2 linked regions of the Oryctolagus cuniculus genome follow. The protein of the gene in region 1 binds, or shares a complex with, the protein of each later gene. Links are inferred from orthologs where the notes say so. Each region holds a gene or a part of one and is shown on either strand. Other genes may lie near its edges. The genes, in order: MMUT and MMAA.

The links.
Region 2: the proteins of MMUT (region 1) and MMAA are in contact, whole or in part, in a crystal structure (PDB 8GJU), measured with the Homo sapiens proteins. The link is inferred for Oryctolagus cuniculus from reciprocal best matches to the Homo sapiens genes MMUT and MMAA. Residues at the interface, in NP_000246.2 of Homo sapiens: Lys496, Glu609, Arg610, Glu611, Gly612, Arg613, Arg614, Arg616, Ala635, Thr636, Ala639, Asp640, Gly642, Phe643, Asp644, Val645, Asp646, Ile647, Gly648, Pro649, Leu650, Phe651, Gln652, Glu656, Gln659, Gln660, Val662, Asp663, Ala664, Asp665; in NP_001362573.1 of Homo sapiens: Arg98, Ala99, Ala102, Glu103, Thr106, Glu109, Ser110, Thr111, His112, Ser182, Ser186, Gly187, Gly188, Ser189, Leu190, Leu191, Lys194, Thr195, Met197, Thr198, Ser201, Arg202, Met204, Tyr207, Ile208, Arg209, Pro210, Ser211, Pro212, Arg214.

What each region holds. Positions count from the first base shown.
Region 1 is NC_091436.1:120,797,017-120,800,828, forward strand, and holds part of MMUT (methylmalonyl-CoA mutase, mitochondrial), read left to right. Parts: intron 1-3,160; coding exon 3,161-3,318; intron 3,319-3,812. UniProt on the Homo sapiens protein: Catalyzes the reversible isomerization of methylmalonyl-CoA (MMCoA) (generated from branched-chain amino acid metabolism and degradation of dietary odd chain fatty acids and cholesterol) to succinyl-CoA (3-carboxypropionyl-CoA), a key intermediate of the tricarboxylic acid cycle.
Region 2 is NC_091439.1:19,220,925-19,225,484, forward strand, and holds the start of MMAA (methylmalonic aciduria type A homolog, mitochondrial), read right to left. Parts: upstream 3,039-4,560; 5' UTR 2,899-3,038; intron 1-2,898. UniProt on the Homo sapiens protein: GTPase, binds and hydrolyzes GTP. Involved in intracellular vitamin B12 metabolism, mediates the transport of cobalamin (Cbl) into mitochondria for the final steps of adenosylcobalamin (AdoCbl) synthesis.

The sequences.
Region 1 (3,812 bases):
TCTTGTTAGCAGTGATCTCCTTCTCCTTACCTACCTTAAAGTTTGCCCAATACTTCATGGCAAAGAGAATATCTTTGCACCATCAAATCTTTTTTTATCTCTTGCCTTCTTTTAATTATTAACTCAGAACTCTTGCAAGCATTGGCTACACTCCACATTTAATATTTAGCCTTTACAACTTTGCAGTTTTATTTCATTTCATGTATTACATTTGTCCACATGAGCGTATTGAATAGAATTGTTTGTTTCTTATCACTTTTTTAGATTTCAAGAACATTTACACAGGAAGATTTTGTTTGGGAATATATGGCAAACACAAATAGCAGTTGCTCAAACTATTTAGAAGTTAATTATCTTTCTTTTAAAAAATCAGAGGGTAGGTTATGGGCTTGCTTATATGCTACCTCAACAGTTACCAGGGTTCCATCCTCCTTTTAACTTTCTTGTCCTCTCTTGTTAGAGTTTCAGCTCGTGCTTAAGGGAGAAGGTGGACCTCCTTGGTGGCAGAGAAGGACCCCACACCTCTAATTTAAAGGGGGCTTGCAGGAGGAACACCCAAAGTCTCATTTGTATCTCAGTGGACACACATAATATTAAGAGAAAATTGTACATGTAACTCTTAATACATTGGCCCTCTAAATTTATGGTTCCACTACTACAACAGGAGAGAGGAGAATGGTTATTGGAGTAGACTGTAGTAGTTTGTGCTGCTAAATACTTGGGTATTTCACTGTTTGAAAGATTCTGATGTCATAAACAAATTCATAATTGCTTTATATAATCCCTCATACATGTGATAACATACCAGCTTCAGAGGTAGACCACAAATGTTTTATTTATTTATTTATTTATTTAAAAGATTTATTTATTCATTTGAAAGTCAGAGTTACACAGAGAGAAGAGAGGCAGAGAGAGAGAGAGAGGTCTTCCATCTGCTGGTTTACTCACCAATTGGCTGCAATGGCCGGAGCGCTACACCGATCTGAAGCCAAGAGCCAGGAGCTTCTTCCAGGTCTAGCATGCGGTTACAAGGGCCCAAGGACTTGGGCCATCTTCTACTGTTTTCCCAGGCCATAGCAGAGAGCTGGATTGGAAGTGGAACATCCAGGTCTTGAACTGGCATACATATGGGATGCTGGTGCTTCAGGCCAGGGCGTTAACCCACTGTGCCACAGCGCCAGCCCCCACAAATGTTTTATTAAAGTACTTTGTATTTTTTAAATTTCTAATTGTGACAAAATGTATGTAACATAAAATTATCTAAAACATTTGGAAGTATACAGTTCAGTGGCATCAGGTACATTCACATTGTGGTGCAATCTTTGCCACCTTCTAACTCCAGAATTCTTAGATTTTTCTTCTTTTTTTTAAACATTTTTTTAAAATTTATTTATTTGAGAGATAGAGTTACAGACAGTGAGAGGGAGAGACAGAGAGAAAGGTCTTCCATCCGCTGGTTCACTCCCCAACTGGCCACAACTGCTGGAGCTGCACCAATCTGAAGCCAGGAGCCAGGAGCTTCTTCTGGGTCTCCCATGAGGGTGCAGGGGCCCAAGCACTTGGGCCATCTTCTACTGCTTTCCCAGGCCATAGCAGAGAGCTGGATGGGAAGAGGAGCAGCTGGGATTAGAACCAGCACCCATATGGGATGCTGGTGCCACAGGCAGAGGATTAACCTACTGCGCCACAGCCTCCGGCCCCTCTTTGATTTTTCAAAGCTGAAATCCTGTGCTTAGTAAGCAAGAACTCCCCCTTCACCTCTCTACCCTCAAGCTGCCACTGGCAACCACATTCTTTCTATAGCTCTGAATTTGACTACTCTGGTTTCCTCATATAAATGCAATCATATGATATTTGTCTTTTATGATAGTTTATTTTGCTTAATATAATATCCTCAAGGCTTATTCATGTTGTAGCATGTGTCAGGATTAATTTTTAAGGTTGAATAATACTTTAATACTTCAATGTTCTGCTGTTTCTACTATTCCTAAATTCTGCTAGTAGCCTCCTCTGCATAGAGAAGTACATGTTTCCTTGTTTCATATATGTAAACTCTAAACTGAGTCTTTCAATTCCATGCAATTCTATGCCCTCATTGATTTTATGATAGACTATTTTTAAAAAACTCTTCGTTAATTATAAATTAAATATTTGAAAATGTAAAATATATAATTATATTTTGGATATATGGTGTAAATCATATACTACATATGATAGGTCCATGTTTTCTGTGTATATGGTATATTTAATCCATACCATACATTAACAATGAAAACGACATTTTTTTGTTCCTTTCTATGTTAAAGCCCTGGGCTGCATTTTTTGGCATCCTATATGGGCACTGGTTAGAGTCCTGGCTGCTTCACTTCCAGTCCAGCACTCTGCTAATGTTCCTGGCAAAGCACTGGAGGATGGCCCTAGTACTTGGACCACCACACCCATGTGGGAGACCCTGAAGAAATTACTGTCTCCTGGCTTTGAATTGGCTCAGCTCTGGCCGTTGTAGCCATTTGGGGAGTGAACCAGCAGATGGAAGACCTCTCTCTGTCTGTACCTCTCTGTGTAACTCTGTCTTACAAATCTTTAACAACAACAACAACAACAACAAAGATATTTAGCTCTAATTCGTTTCCACTAGGAGAATAAGAGATATAAACTTGATGGATGGTTCATGGATCAATTGGTTCAGTTTGAGAGTGTGGGCCAACATTGTGGCCACCTGTTGTGATGCTGGCGTCCATATCAGAGTGCTGGTTCAAGTCCCAGATTCTTTACTTCCAATGGAGCCCTCTGCTAATGTGCCTGGGAGAGCAGCAGAAGATGGCCCAAGTGCTTGGGCCCCTGTCATCCTTGTGGGAGTTCCTGGTTCCTGGCATTGGCCTGGCCTAGCCTCAGCCCTGGACACTCATTTAAGGAGTGAAGGTCTCTTTCTCTCTGATACCCTGCCTTTTACATAAATAAATATATAAATAAATCTTTAAAAATAATAGATTGGAGAATAAATAAATGTAACAGATAAGCAGTAAATATTTTCAGATAGCATAAACTGAGAATATCAGAGTTGAACATGATTTTAAGATAATATTTGCTTTTAGAAAATTAATTTCATAGAATCTTTTAATATTTTTATTCATTGTTTTATTTTTGTTGTTTTATTTAGCACATGCCAAAATTCAATTCAATTTCAATTAGTGGATACCATATGCAGGAAGCAGGGGCTGATGCCATCCTGGAACTGGCCTATACAGTAGCAGATGGATTGGAGTACTGTAGAACTGGACTCCAAGCTGGCCTGACAATTGATGAATTTGCACCAAGGTAAGTAAAGCTGGGGTATTGTCTCACCATTAAGAAAATATACAGGACCATTTTATGAGTATACAGCAAAATATAGCTAAAATGAGTTTTTAAATATAAATGTCATGCTAGATTTAGATTATCTTACATTTTATCTGAGTAATAATGAGGGAATAAGCCATTATTTTTTTAAAGGTTTATTTAAATTTTTTTTTTTTGACAGGCAGAGTGGACAGTGAGAGAGAGAGAGAGAAAGGTCTTCCTTTTCTATTGGTTCACCCCTCAATGGCCGCTGTGGCCGACGCACCACGCTGATCCGAAGCCAGGAGCCAGGTGCTTCTCCTGGTCTCCCATGCAGGTGCAGGGCCCAAGCACTTGGGCCATCCTCCACTGCACTCCCGGGCCATAGCAGAGAGCTGGCCTGGAAGAGGGGCAACCGGGACAGAATCCGGCACTCCGAATGGGACTAGAACCCAGGGTGCCAGCGCTGCAGGAGGAGGATTAGCCTAGTGAGC
Region 2 (4,560 bases), on another chromosome or scaffold:
CATTTTCAAAGGGAAGTTGAGAAGTTCCATTTTGCAAATTAAAAAAAACAACAACAACAAAACTTGAGCAGCTTGTTTGAGGTACAACTCCCACACTGTGCAGCATCGGTGTTTTTCAGTATGACAGCGGTTATGGTGAATTTCCAAACACAGTAGAGTCCCCCTCTTCTCCACGGCGGGTGTGATCCAAGAGAGCCAATGGCCCCCAACCCTATCCCTGCAGGTGGATTTCTACATGCCCTGCAGTGTGCTCACCAAGTGCCAGGGGTAATGCGTCCTGGCACCTTTTCTGCCCAGGTGCCTCCTCTGCATCACGACTCTTGTACTAAAGCCTTTACTGAATAGGATAAAGGCTGCCCCAACACTGGCACCGTGGTACTGCCATGGCTGATCTGGTAACTCAGACAGTTACTGAGCGACCAACTGGAAGGTAGCGCATACAGCAGGTACTCAGTGGGCAAAGGGATCTCAGGCAAGATGGCTCAGGACTGCATGAGGTTATCACCGCAACACTCAGAAGGCATACAGTTGCAAACTTGGGAATTCTTTGACGGTGACCTCGGGTAACTTAAACCAGAGGAAGTGAAAATGTGTCTAAGGGGGCACTGCTGTGGGCATGCATTAATAAAAAATACATCACGCTGCTAGCTTCACCAAGCATAGTCACAGCAACCACTTTAATGAGGCCCTGAACCAGGGCACGGGTGTGATAAACGCTTCATTGTGGCTGCTCATCTTTCAACATCTTGGAAGAGAATGCGTCTCATTTTGCAGAGAAAAGTTTGCCTCAGAAGATCCGGGGAACTGTCCAGAAATCACCCAGAGATGGGGACAGGGGGTCACGGGTCTCTGACACAAAACCTTTTCTCTCTCCCTTACCTCCTTCTCCTCCCTGTCTCCCGGGGCGTGGAAGCGGCAGGCTGGGATAATTATAGAACTGCCGCGCCCACCTTAAAGATAGATCAACCAGTGTCACAGCTCATTGGGAGGGCAGTCTCGCTGGTTCAAAGTGTGAAGGGTTGCACTGTCACAGAAGGATTGGCTTCAAAGACATATCTGAGTGGTGTTAGGTTTAATGCCTCATGCTGAAGGAGAATTACACATCCTGTGAACGTTAACTTGCCTTCTCCCGTCTCCCCCCTCTCCAAAGGACCTCTGCTAATTTAAGTTTCTAAATATATTTAGGGGAGTGTGGGGCTGAGGGAGGAAGACTGGTAGGGCCATGAGTTAATGGGTTTTACTAGATACAAGTGAGTTATTAATACATGGTGACTGGTAACGGTAGAATCTGCTGTGTATTTAGGCAGACGCCCAGGGCAGAGTGGCTGCCAGTTCACCCAGTTATGAAGCTTACACTTCCAGAAGTAGAATAGCGACCTCAGTGTCCTGCCCCGAGGAGGTAAAATTACCCCTCCTGAAATAATCCTTGCCTACAAAGGGATAAACAAGAATTCGGGATTGGAACTCCACAGATGGGAAGGGCCAGTGCTGTGGCGAAAGCGTGCCCTGGCGGCAAATTCCTGGTGGACGGCAGGATTACTGGCATAGCCGCCCCGCAGGTGGCCTGGAGCACAGGGGAGCATGAGGCGGAGGAGAGGCCGGTGTCCTTGGGGGTCCCCCGCGTTCGCAGGCCGATGGTGGGAGTCTCGGCGTCACAGGTCTGAGCTCAGGTGTGGCATCCCCTCAAGAAGTGGAACAACCGGATCAAATCAGGAATAAAGACATCTCAATGTCGGGAGCCGGGAGGGTAAGAGATGTCCCAACAAGCAGCTAGTCTATAGCGTGGGGGTGGGGAGAGTCGTGCAAATGTAAATCATTGTGGGCGAGCAGGCTGAAGGCGCCATCACTTAGCACACCGCACAAACTTTCAGCGGAGTCCCACCGTCTGCTTCGGTCCAGAGCCCTTGGCTGGGACCCTTGCAAAGCGCGCCAGGGAAACTGACAGCTCTGTTTTATGAACACTCCCTATGCTGCTCGGCGAAGCACAGCTTTTTTTTTTTTTTTCCCTTGCTTTTCTTTGCCACTATGCTTATTATTGTTGTGGGGATTCTTGGATTGCAAACCATCTACTACATCCCCAGGATAGGGCAAAGGCCCGCCACCTCCACCTGCTGGTGTTCGCACGCCTGTTTTTATGAAGCCCTGTAGGTTGGCGTCACCACTGCAAACCACTTTCCACCATTATAAAGCACTTAGTGTAGGGCTCTGGGCCGAGGTTTTAATATGCAGTACATCGCTACAGCAGCACAGCCACCAATGAGAGGGTGGCGATTATGTCTCCGTGAGGGTAAAACATTAATTCACTTGCCTGAGAGGACACGGCTAGAAAGGGATGGAGCTGGCATTGAAACACAGGTCTGCCTAAACCAAGTGCCCGCTGCTACCCATCACCTCCGCAGCATAGTTCTACATCCAGGGCCAGTGGTTAGCCCTGCTGCTAAGACTCCTGTATTCCACACTGGAGAGCCTGGGTTCCATTCTCACTTCTGCCCCCTGCCGCCAACTGCCTGTAACGCAGACCCTGGGAGGCAGCCGTGATGGCTCAAGTAGTCGGGTTCCTGCCACTCATGCGCGAGACCTGGCTCCCAGCTTCAGTCGGAGCCACTGCAGGTGTGTGGGGGAGTGAACCAGTGGCTGGCAGTGCTTTCTCTCTCTCTCTCGTAAATATCTAAAAATCAGCCTGTCACTCAGTCTGTCCATGGGATGAAAATAAGGTCTAGATGGCTGCGGCTGCGCTCCAGTGTCCATGGGTGAAGGCCACGGGAAGAAGACAATGTCCTCTCTCTTGTCCTCACAAGTGTGCAGCCCCAGAGAGTAACAAGGAGCTCCTCAACATCTTCTTTTTCCCTCTTTAAACGTAGGCTATGTTGAGGGATAAAGCTGTGTTGTTTGACTCACCGTTTTTTGGATCAAGAGAGGAATCTCCAAATCATCAGCTCTTCGCGAAGTGGTCCCTAGAGGAGTCGCTCCCAAACTCTGCCGTGCAGGAGGCGCCGCCTCTCCATCACTGTGTCGGCTTCAGCCTTGAACTGATTATGATCTCGCAGTTGCTGAGGCTGAGCTTCCGGATCTGTGCACAAGATGTTTGTGTCCCGGAGCTTGGAAACCGCAGGTCGTAGGCTTCGTTACAGCACGCTCTTTGGGGACCACAGCCTTAAAAAACCACTCCGGGAACCGGCGCTGTGGTGTGGTGGGTTAAGCCGCTGCCTGTGGCGTCAGCATCCTATAAGGGCGCTCCAACTGCTCCAAACTCTGCGTTCTTCGTCAGCCTCTCCCGCCAGCGATGCACGCACACAGCTCCTGCTTCTGACACAGGGGTTCCTTGCATCTGCTCGTGTCTCCAGCCACCATCTCTTTTCTCTGTCCTCCTCACCAGTAAACTTCAGGGATGAAAATACTCTTTGCTCCACTGACGTGCACCCCATAGAATTCTGAACGCTTATAATTTGGCTTCTTGCACCACCCCGGAACACTCCTGCAGTCATCAGACTTCCGAATTGCTCAGCTTAAATAAACCCTTTCTGAAGCTCTTCTCTGTCGCATACTGGTCACGGTGACAAGCTTCCTCGCTGAAACCCTTCCCTTGACCTCTGTGACTCCTCAGGCTGGGTTAGCTCCTTCCTGTTCCGTTTCTGCTTCCTCCACAGTCAGTTTCTCTCCTGGGCTCTGCTGTGTGTGACCCTTGAGTGACCTCCGCCGTCCACCATGTAAGAGCTAAGATGCTAGGGGGATTACCCCACTCCGTATCAGGACATACACACGATCCTTAACGACTGCTCCCTTCCCACCCCTCCCTTCTCTTACGTAGCACTTGGGCTAAAGGCTCCACCGACAGCTACTGCCTGTATATTCCAGCTAGTCCACCTACACTGAATTCTTGGTGATCCCAAATGGACCTGGTTCTCGCACTCGTGCCTCTGTATTTTCTGCCTGGTACACACTCCCACCCCCCATCCCTCCCTTGCAGGTTAACACCTGGTTGGCGAAACAAGACTTCCATCTGAGGTACTGCCCTGAGAAGGCTTCTCCTGCCCCCGGGGGTGAGGCTGTGTACCCCTCTGTGCCCCTCGCTGGCATCACTGCTTGTCTGCCTCTCCCGTAACGGGCAGGCCGAGTTTATCACTGACCACCATGCCTGGCACAGGACTGGTGCGCAGAAACGCAGAAGGAACGAGCCATCCTCTCTACGCTGGGGGAGATGGACACGGTAACCTCCAGACCTGTGTCATCTACGGCTTGTGCAGTCTGCGCCAGGATGTTCTAATCCCTTAGTTCAAAAAGACAACTTAATCAGCAGAGGTTAGTACAGGTACTTAGTTTATCTGGTACTTTACAAATCTATAGTGAACAAGTATTGCTTCAACTAAAGGAAAATGATATTTTAAAAAGACCTACCTTGGGGCCAGCACTGTGGCAGAGTGGGTTAAGCCTTGGCCTGCAGTGCCAGCATTTCATATAGGTGCCAGTTTGAGTCCTAGCTGCTTCACTTCTGATCCAGTCTCTGCTATGGCCTGGGAAAGCAGTGGAAGATGGCCCAAGTTCTTGGGCTCCTACACACAT